Saccharomyces cerevisiae S288C: one gene and its partners. The gene in region 2 interacts genetically with the main gene of each other region. Each region holds a gene or a part of one and is shown on either strand. Other genes may lie near its edges.

The links.
Region 1: mutations in BSP1 (region 2) and AIM23 together harm fitness more than expected from each alone (negative genetic interaction), as found in Saccharomyces cerevisiae (one large-scale study listed by BioGRID).
Region 3: mutations in BSP1 (region 2) and YAR066W together harm fitness more than expected from each alone (negative genetic interaction), as found in Saccharomyces cerevisiae (one large-scale study listed by BioGRID).

The regions. Positions count from the first base shown.
Region 1 is NC_001142.9:163,752-167,404, forward strand, and holds AIM23 (Aim23p), read right to left. Parts: upstream 1,598-3,653; coding exon 527-1,597; downstream 1-526. Other genes in the region: YJL132W (uncharacterized protein), read left to right, coding at 1-415; URA2 (bifunctional carbamoylphosphate synthetase/aspartate transcarbamylase), read right to left, coding at 1,972-3,653.
Region 2 is NC_001148.4:881,881-886,150, forward strand, and holds BSP1 (Bsp1p), read left to right. Parts: upstream 1-1,947; coding exon 1,948-3,678; downstream 3,679-4,270. Other genes in the region: YPR170W-B (uncharacterized protein), read left to right, coding at 1,359-1,507, 1,607-1,715; YPR172W (pyridoxal 5'-phosphate synthase), read left to right, coding at 3,916-4,270. UniProt on the Saccharomyces cerevisiae protein: Recruits the capping protein complex to actin patches and the actomyosin contractile ring, and/or stabilizes their interaction. May serve as an adapter to link INP52 and INP53 to the cortical actin cytoskeleton. Binds F-actin.
Region 3 is NC_001133.9:219,269-222,262, forward strand, and holds YAR066W (uncharacterized protein), read left to right. Parts: upstream 1-1,780; coding exon 1,781-2,392; downstream 2,393-2,994. Other genes in the region: YAR064W (uncharacterized protein), read left to right, coding at 930-1,229.

The DNA of each region.
Region 1 (3,653 bases), on a different chromosome or scaffold from region 2:
GTTTATATATATTGAGAAGTCTGGGCAAATAGAGTTTTTCTTAAAACTGGTTCTAAAGATTAAGACAAAATCAGATTCAATCCCGGATGAGTTTGGTTCATCTTTGCTGTTTAATGACGAAGAAAAGAAATTGTACGTTTCCTCCCCAGGCAGTTTCGATGCAAGAGGAAGTATATGGAAAATTAGTATGGATGAGCTATTAAAGGCGGGAAACGATCCGAAGCGCAAAACCCTTTTGATTAATAATTTAAGGCATCTCATGCTCATAAATCCTGACAAAAGTAGCAAGGGTGTGTCAAATTTTGGTAATAGCATGATTTTGGGTCCCCAAAATCACCTTATAGTAGGCATTCCCCAATATGGGTATGGAAATTTTGATCACATGCAGCTAACCGGTAGAATCCTGGTACTTTAATGATAAGTTATTATGTACAAGCATCGGTTTAGTTCAATTACATTAATTTAATACTTGAAAAGCATATTTGGCAATATGCGCTATATATATTCTGATGTCATTTGCTTCTATTTACATTTCATTCATTTTTTTTCTCTGAATCCTTTTTTGCAATTTTTCTTGCCTCTCCTTCTTTCTCAATTCCTTTAACGCCCTCTTATCGTTGTTTTGTGGTTTAACGTCCTTTGGTATAAGTTTCATTATCATTTTCGAGTTCATGTTACCTAGCAGAACAGGATCATTAGCATATTCGCTAACTATCTCTTTCAATGTCTCCAAGACAGCAGCTCTTTTCTGGAAAACTGATTCTGGTAGCCTGGGTGGTTCACCTTTTTGAGAGCGGTCCAGCTCCTCAAAATTTTCAAGCCAATTGTTTGAATTTATGTTATTCTTGTCATCAAGATATAACGTTACTTTATTCCCTTTTTTCAATAGCGAAACTATTTCGTGAGCCTTCTGCCTTTTTAAATCATCGCTTTCAATCTGCCATGATATTTTAATATGCTTCAAGTTATCTTCTTTTTTATCAGTCACCAAATTCTTGTAAGACTTATTCAGTACTCCCAATTCCATCAGTTCCTTTTCCTTTTTTTTAGCCAGAAAGTCTGAATATTTTTTTAAGGCTACACGACTTTCGACTATCTTAACAAGTGGAATTTGATTTTCATTATCGATTTGCTCTACATTAACAATACTGAGTCCAACTTTATCGAGATCAATGCCCTTGGCAAAATACCGAATATTGGATGCTTCAATTCGGTGGGTAGTGGGATCCACAACTTTGATGTTTCCCTTGTGATTTTTTTTGAATATCTCACTAACAACTGAATTAGCTGCCTCTTTAGCTCGATCTGTCCCGGTGCTCCAAGTAATCAGGATTTTTTTCCTGTTAGTAGCATTCCTTGGCACTTGTTTCGGGCGCTTAATATACTCTTTAGGAAAAGCAGCATTTCTTGCCACATTTCCATGACTTTGCTCTTTAAGATTTGCCAGCTCACGTTTACGTTTCATTGCGTTGCGAAATATATCTGTGGTAGATGATGCATTGTCTCTGCTGAAGTATTTTGTGCAATGAAAATATCTAAAACTTTTTAAAAACAGCATCTTCTGTGAAAGAACATCACTCAAAGGAACTTTTAACATATCCACGGACCTGATGTTACCTCCTTACTGTGTATGCATCAGGTATGCATTTTGTGATATATAGCTGTTATAGTTTTCTGAACTTACTTTTTTAGACCCTTAAAGTTCTTACCGTCGCGGGAAAATTCAGGTAAAATTCAAGAGCTCAGGATGAAAACTAGACAAAAGGAACGAGATTACCTTCAACTCCTATGCCTTAAACATTTTTTGTTTCCTCAAGAAAATTTGTTTACAAAATCATTCCATCTTTTGTTTTAAATAAAAACTCGACTTTGGGAAATCATATTATTGAGTGTAATATACAAATAAAAATATTGGTTAAAAAAGTTTAATAATAGATTATAAATTTAAAATACGGATAGGTCTCTTATCATTCACATATCAACACCCATGACCATGGCCAACAAAGCCATTCTGACGAACAAACCATACTTCATTTGTCTGAAGTAAGCAGCACGATGATCGTAGTCCACTTCCTCTTTGATTTCATTTACACGAGGCAATGGATGCATGATAGCCATATTTTCTTTGGCGTGTGCCAAGATCTTGTTGTCCACGATATAAGTATCCTTCAGACGTGCATATTCTTCAGGGCTATTGAATCTTTCTTCTTGGACCCTTGTACAATACAGAACATCGGTCTTTGAGATGATATGAGGGGTTAATTCAATGCTCTCAACACCAAGTAAGCCAGCTTTTCTTAGCTCTTCTCTTAATCCTTCTGGTAACCTCAATTCCGGAGGAGAAACAAGATTAATTCTGACTTGATAGTGCATTAACAAACGACACAATGAATGTACGGTTCTACCATGTTTGAGATCACCCATGAAAGTAACAGTAATACCATTAACAGTACCGATTTCTTCACGAATCGTAAACAAATCCAAGAAGGCCTGCGTAGGATGCTCGCGAGAACCATTACCACCATTAATAATTGGAACAGGAGAATATTTAGCGGCGATATGAACAGACATTTCTTCTGAATGACGCATGACAATGGCATCACTGTAACAAGCCAAAGTTCTGATAGTATCTTGAAGGGTTTCACCTTTCTTGACAGAAGACACCAATGGATTAACATTTACAATTCTACCACCCAAACGTTCCATAGCAGCAATGAATGAAGAACAAGTACGAGTAGATGGTTCAAAGAAAATTGTAGTAATAACGTGGCCTTTCATTAAATCTAAGACACCTTCTCTTGCGACAGCTGCCCTTAGTTCTTGTGCAACAGCAAACAACACATGGAAATCAGAACGTTTGAATTGTTTGATAGACAATATATGTCTTCCGCGGAATGGATTGTTACTACGGATCAAATTCTGGATGGCGCCTGGAGCAACAAGTTCTCTTGGTGGCCTTGAAGACATCAATTTTTGTTCCAAAGGCTGTTCTGGAATTGCATCCTCCGCGGCATCTAAATTATCAGCGATTGCTTCTTCCGTGATCGAGAACCTTCTTTTAGCACTAGTAGATTGGAGCTCTGCGGAAGCAGTTATGGAAGCTGGACTTGGATTAACAATGCATTTTCCTTTGGCGCCTGGTGAAACTAATTCACCGCTCAAAACTAATGTTTCGCCATTATAGACAACACGCTCAATACCACCGTTCATATCTTTGTTGAATGGTGACCATCTCTTATTACGTCTGAAAGAATAATCCAAATCAATTTCGACAACTGAGTCCTGAGTAGGGATGTTGAAAATTTTAGCGGGATTGTCATGCAGACGAAGGACGATATCATCAATGGTTAATTTACCTTCTTCAACAGCAGCCAACAATAGTGGTAATGAATCTTTGATACCCATACCAACATCAACCTTGTTACCTGTGACATTTGCCAAGGCGACAGGAAGAGCACCGACAGAGAAAGCATCGATACTATCAAGGTTGTTCCAGAAAAACTCTTGATCTTCCTTAGTAGGCAAGAAAACTGCCTCCGGATAGTCATCTTGGGCAATAAACAAAGAATAAATATTGACATCACAAGTCACTCTAGGGTCTTTTGCCTTGACCGTCATGATCAAAGCTAAATCTTCCTTATTCGAAACACCAG
Region 2 (4,270 bases):
GTTATTTCTGCAAAAACAGCATTCATTGGTAATGACAAGGTCAATTTTGGCTTTTATACATTTCACATGTACAGGATAGTGGAACACATTCCAAGGAGGTGAAGAACGTCCCCTTTGATACTTCCATACAAGGACGATTAAAAATACATAAGAGAACAGATCTGCAAAAATGCGTTTTACTTCCTTTACAATCTCAATGCCGATAAATAAGCGCAATGAAGATTACTCAGCAACTGTATGTTGGCTCATGCGAAATATGAATGTTTCATTCGAGATTACTTATCTTGTTTAACGCTTGAACAGCGTACTGTAACTTCTTGCTACAGAATGATGGACCCCATTATAATACTACCGCCTTGCGAATGCGCAATTTATTATGATCATGAACCCTGAGAAATCAAATGAATATTTAAAGTGTATGCAAAATGGACAAGAACATTATGGTAACATTGTCTACGACAGAATTTATTTTCTGACTTTAATAGTGACGGTTATACGAAATTAATGATTCTTCGAGAGGCAACTCACTTTACTGCAAATGGACCTGCAGAGTTTGCATCTAGAGGACAATATGCTGCACAAAAACGACCAATATTTACCTTCAACGAAAACAACCTTAAGAAACCCCTTCAACAACAACGCAGCTATCGTATCGTAGTGGTCTCCATAATGCGTGCACCTCCTTTAGCACTTATCGAGTAATAACATACGCTAGATAAGTAAAGTGTCCAGGATATTATAATTATATGATATTTCGGGAATGGTTTCTATATCTAGTTTTTTAACTTAGCCTAGACATTCGCCTCGTATTATAAAATACATGAAAGTGACTTGACTGCTTCATGAGAGTTATACTAAGAGCATTCATAACTAGAAGACACATTTTAGTTTTTATTACTGAGTAAGGGTTTAGTTTGTACATACAAGGCAACATGAAATTCAAGGTGCTGATGTTCAGTAAAGCCGCCTAGCTTTACGTGCCGAAATATTGATAATATGTCTCAGCCACTTCCTGGCTTAACTATTTAAATGATATTTCTGCATCCATCGGTATGGCGCACAATAAACGGTATCTGAGAATATCGAAAAGAACACCACAATACTACTGAGTGCAAACACAGAAGAGCGTAGGTGATTCAACTAATTGAGTTAGAAACTGCATCAACGCTGCATAATAAAGATGCTGCTGTTCAGGATCATTTTTTTTAAAGACTGAAAAAAATTGCTTATCGCTTTGCACGCGACTCTTTTTTCTATTATTTGAAAAATAGCTTAAGGGAAAAGAAAAGAATAGGTAGCTTTCAAAGCAAGAACCTCTACGATAAAGGACAAAGCTAGAAGCAAACACCGCAAAAAAAATGAGACCCGTTGTATCCACTGGTAAGGCATGGTGTTGTACCGTCCTATCGGCATTTGGTGTAGTAATTCTTTCCGTCATTGCTCATCTCTTCAACACAAACCATGAATCCTTTGTAGGATCAATAAACGATCCTGAAGATGGACCTGCGTATGTTATATTTTCTTATTTATTTCGCCGTTACCCATTTACCATCTCTTATATCTCTCCTCCTTACTAACAATTATATTTTAACCCTATTGTTTATAGTGTTGCACATACTGTTTATTTGGCTGCCTTGGTATACCTCGTGTTTTTCGTATTCTGTGGGTTCCAAGTTTACCTAGCCAGAAGAAAACCTTCGATCGAGTTGCGTTAGTCTTGAAGCCAATAGGATAATACCAAATGCATTAATATCGTCCAACTGTTCTATATACTTATCGTAACCTCGTTCCATGTGACATTCTTTTTTATTACACTTTTCGACAATAGCGAATTGAGTGAAATATTATGAAAGAATATATAGTATAAATATATACATTTATATATGAATTCTAATCAATAAAAGTCACAGTAACCAGCTTTTCCTAGCTTTTCGAAGTTTCGGAAGTATGACAAAATATGAGCGTGACCCTGAATTGGTGAACTTTCTATCGAAAGTGGAGGATTTGAACTCTAAGAGATACAGTAATATTCCTAGTTCAAAACCAGCGGGGGAAGCGCTTTCACCAGTTAGAAGTCACAACTCTGGGGAATACAGAAGGGCTGATATGATGACAGGGAAAAATGTGGAAGGTTGCGACAATTTGGCCTACCGATCTGCGTACAATTATGAAATGACGTTTTCTCCAAAGAAGACTCATTACTCATTAAGTGAGCTGAATCTCGAACGAATAACGCCAAGGCCGGATTTGGAGGGAAGTGCCTCTCAAAAAGAAAAAAAATTTTTAATTTCTGAAGAAGATTATTTATTATTGCAGAAATTGAAAGCCTCTCAAACATATAATGATTCCAATGCTGACAAAAATTTGCCTTCCTTTGAAAAAGGTCCTCGTATGCCCAGTCGGGGTCGACCCAGACCGAGAGAGAAGGAAATAATCACCATCCAATATGATTTTGAATTACCAGGAAGAGCCGATATACCCTCCTCCTCCTCTTCTTCATCACCACCGCCTTTGCCCACAAGGCGTGATCATATCAAAATCACAGATGGGAATGAAGAGAAACCGCTTCTTCCAACAAGGCCTAACAAAGCAGAAGTTACAGAAAGTCCGTCATCAAGGTCAATAAAACCGGATGCTGTGGTACCTGAGCGCGTTAAGCCTGCTCCACCTGTCTCACGCTCTACAAAACCGGCGAGCTTTTTAAGTTCTTTGGAAGATAACAAATTGACAAAGGCGAAGAGTTATAATTCGGAAATGGAAACTCCCAAAACAACTGTAAAAAGTTCTCATATCGATTACTTGGATTCCATACAACTAAAACCAACCACCTTATCTCCTACAATGAAAAATAAACCTAAACCAACCCCTCCTTCTCCACCTGCGAAAAGAATTCCAAGATCTGAAAGTTTTATCAAGTCTATGCTAAACTCGAATCTCACGACAACTTCCAAGCCTTCTTTGCCTGAAAAACCTCAAAAGCTACGGAATGCAAATTTGGCCGCCCATAAGACCAAACCAAGCATACCGCCAAAGAAAGTGGAGTTGAATATAGTATTACCTGAGCTACGTCCCGTAGAAACTTCTCCAACAAAGCAGAACTTCGAAAACTCAATCGATTTGCCCAAGTTACGATCCAGCAACCGTAACATTAAAAAAGAAGAGGAGGACAGTATTCCAGAAGCAATAAAAGGTATACAAAATCTGAAGAAAACCAAACAGCAGAAGCCTGCAATCCCTCAGAAAAAATCATTTCTAACAAATAATTCGAAAAATACTACACTCAAAAATGGTGATGATATTAACAAGTTAAATGACGAAATTGAAGCTCTATCATTGCGGAATAACCTGAAGAAACGGCCACCAACGGCGCCACAACGTAAAATTTCTTTGCCAGAGGCATTGCGAAAAGTCGAATTGATGAAAAAATCTAAAACCGAGCCTGTTTTAGAGTCCTCAAACGAACTGAGCATAAACGCAAAATTAGACGCAATAATTGCCTCTAGAAACTTAAGAGCATCTAATACTCTACCAGAACTTAGCGGTGTTAACACTAATATTGCAACTTCTGACAAGTATACTACTTCTAGAGATGAAACAGTGAAGGAAACTAAACCATTAGTTCACCCGAATAAAAATAGGACTCGTGGTCCCAGAAGAAAACTTCCAACACGCGTGTAACTACAGAGTAGACCTCCGTATTTTACACATGTATGTACGTACATATGATGTAACAATAATATGATAATTTAATGGGATACATGTATTATCGTCACTTCCCACGTTTGCGCTTTGACATTTGCTCCCCTTATGAACCTGAAGGAATATAAATCATCGATCTTTTTGCTACACTTTTCCTCCCTTATTAGAAAATAGCAGTAAAATTACAGGCTATTCAAACCCTGAAACATCTCAATTATGGCTTGGACTAGTACATTACCAGCGCATCTACTGAACCTGATCAAAAACTCCAAATATGTTCACGTGGCCACCTGTTCTAAAGACTGCATCCCTTCAGTGGCATTGATGAACTATATCTATGTGCCAGGTGAAAAACTGTTCGGTCAAACAGATAATAAGAATGACTACATTATATTTGTTTCTCCTCAGGACACACAAAAGTTTTACAACATCAAGGAGAACCCTAAGGTCGCCCTGTTGTTTCACGATTGGATCATCGCGAATAATTTGTCAGTGGGCAAGGAAAGCATCTCTGGGACTCCGACGCCGACTTCTATTCCTCATGAAGAGCAACGTCAAAGCGAGCTTTTAA
Region 3 (2,994 bases), on a different chromosome or scaffold from region 2:
AAATCATCCGTCATTCAAACCAGTAGTTCCACCTCTGGTTCTTCTGAGAGCGAAACAATCTTAGTGATTGCTGGCATGTCATTAGCGACAAGACGCTTATTACCGTAGTAGCCCCCCAAGGCAAACATCTCTTTATCAGTAATATCCAAAGCTGTTCAACTTCTCGAATTGGCCCAGGAAAAGAGCATTGGGGCGGCAACTAACTCTGGCATACTTACAGTTTCTGCTCTTGACAGCGCTAAAAAAGGGCTTGTTTTGTAATGCCCGGTTCGCAATTCTACAAGTACCACGCACTAGCTGCTAAAAGTGTCTAACCTTGCGAACAAATCTGGACTTTCTTATGAGAATCCCATCGTCAAGAAACAAAATTATACAGACAGGCGTAAATGTAGCTCGTAAGCGCCTGATCAAGTAAGCCAAATGCGCTAACTTGAGGAAATATAGCCATCTAAATCTCTGCAACATGCCAATTCGCACGTGACTTGAAACTATGGAAAGTGTCTAGAAGATTACCAAGAACCACGTTATTTGAGAGAGGATGGCAAGGTGACGACAATCACACCAAGACCACATTTTGGGTGCGCCTGGAAGCAAGACCTGAGAAACTGGGCCAAAATATTCAAACCAAGCATAAGATAGTTGGAGGTAGGAATACACTATCTAATCTGTGCTGATGAAATGCTGGCGAAAACGGGCGATGTAGTGGTACAGAAGGTGCCGGTTATCCGTTTGTCCGTTTTTCTTCATTTTTTTTTTGTTTTTCCCTTTTGTCTTTTGCACCGCTTATATATGGGTATGAAACAAGTTCAAGAATTTATAATGGAACCCAAAGGTTCAGTCTTTGTAGTTCGAGCGACATTGCGCGTTTCCTTAGAAAACGCTGGAAAGATATTCTTTAACGAGACGGAGTAATTCTCGTCAGGAATAGGATGTTGATTGATTTTTGCTGTAGTTATATAGCAGGGACCCACGGAAGAGAGCGAGCGCCTTCTTTCACAGGGACTTTTGTCAGCCACGTCTCCGGGGAAAACAATTGCCGTCCGCGTCGCAGTGAGATTACGCAGCCGTGCGCTTCAGGGACAGAAAAGAAGCATTTCGCGGCTACGGAGAAACCGTGCACTAACTCTCTCGAGGGTAGCCGCAAAGATTTCTTGTCTCTTCCATTAGGACATAGCTATCTTTTTCTTTTCTGTTTTTGGCGTATGATCTGTTCTGAGCCAAAGTTATAGATCATTGCTTGAATAAGCACCTCACAGAGTAGGGATTGTATAGAAAGTAGCTGAGCGTCTGCCCACGTAACAAACAATCTTGCCCCTTCCCCGCTCTTGTTTTCGCGTGCCTCTTCTACAATAATCTGGCCAGGCTGAATCGCGTTCTGCTGCTGCTGCTGCTATTGTTATTGTTGTTGTTGTTGTTTTGGCCAATTGCTTATGTGTTGGTCTGCAAATTAGCACCTCGTTCCCTGTTGGCAAACGCGCGCGTACAAGCCTTACAGGGCTTGAGAATGTTCTTCGTAGAAATGCATGCACAAAAATTCTGATCTAGCACACCATCGGTCTCTGTAGCTTCGGGCTCTATAGCTATGGGTTAGGAGTCCGTGAGTAGTAACAAGAAGAAGTATATAAAAAGCAGGTAAATCGTACTTCAATATGCTTCATTGTCACTGGATCGTCATATTCACTCTTGTTCTCATAATAGCAGTCCAAGTTTTCATCTTTGCAAGCTTTACTATTTCTTTCTTTTTATTGGTAAACTCTCGCCCATTACAAAAAAAAAAGAGATGTTCAATCGTTTTAACAAATTCCAAGCTGCTGTCGCTTTGGCCCTACTCTCTCGCGGCGCTCTCGGTGACTCTTACACCAATAGCACCTCCTCCGCAGACTTGAGTTCTATCACTTCCGTCTCGTCAGCTAGTGCAAGTGCCACCGCTTCCGACTCACTTTCTTCCAGTGACGGTACCGTTTATTTGCCATCCACAACAATTAGCGGTGATCTCACAGTTACTGGTAAAGTAATTGCAACCGAGGCCGTGGAAGTCGCTGCCGGTGGTAAGTTGACTTTACTTGACGGTGAAAAATACGTCTTCTCATCTGATCTAAAAGTTCACGGTGATTTGGTTGTCGAAAAGTCTGAAGCAAGCTACGAAGGTACCGCGTTCGACGTTTCTGGTGAGACTTTTGAAGTTTCCGGTAACTTCAGTGCTGAAGAAACTGGCGCTGTCTCCGCATCTATCTATTCATTCACACCTAGCTCGTTCAAGAGCAGCGGTGACATTTCTTTGAGTTTGTCAAAGGCCAAGAAGGGTGAAGTCACCTTTTCTCCATACTCTAACGCTGGTACCTTTTCTTTGTCAAATGCTATTCTCAACGGTGGTTCTGTTTCCGGTTTGTAACGTAGAGACGACGATGAAGGCTCTGTAAATAACGGTGAAATCAACCTAGACAATGGAAGTACCTATGTTATCGTTGAACCAGTTTCTGGAAACGGTACAATCAACATCGTCTCTGGTAACCTATACTTGCACTACCCTGACACCTTTACTGGCCAAACTGTTGTATTCAAGGGTGAAGGTGTTCTTGCCGTTGACCCAACCGAAACCAACGCCACTCCTATTCCTGTTGTTGGCTACACCGGTAAGAACCAAATTGCCATTACCGCCGACATCACTGCTCTTTCTTACGACGGTACTACTGGTGTCTTAACTGCAACCCAAGGTAACAGACAATTCTCTTTTGAAATTGGTACTGGATTCTCTAGTTCTGGCTTCAGTGTCTCCGAAGGAATCTTCGCAGGCGCCTACTCATATTACCTAAACTATGACGGTGTCATCGCTACAAGCGCCGCATCCACATCCGCATCCACTACCTCTGGTGTTGTCTCTACTGCCACTGGTTCAGTCACTTTATCCTCTAACGCTTCTACCACCGTCTCTTCTACGATCTCTTCTAGCGCCCCAGACTCAATAATTCCTTCATCTAGCGCCTCTATCTCTGG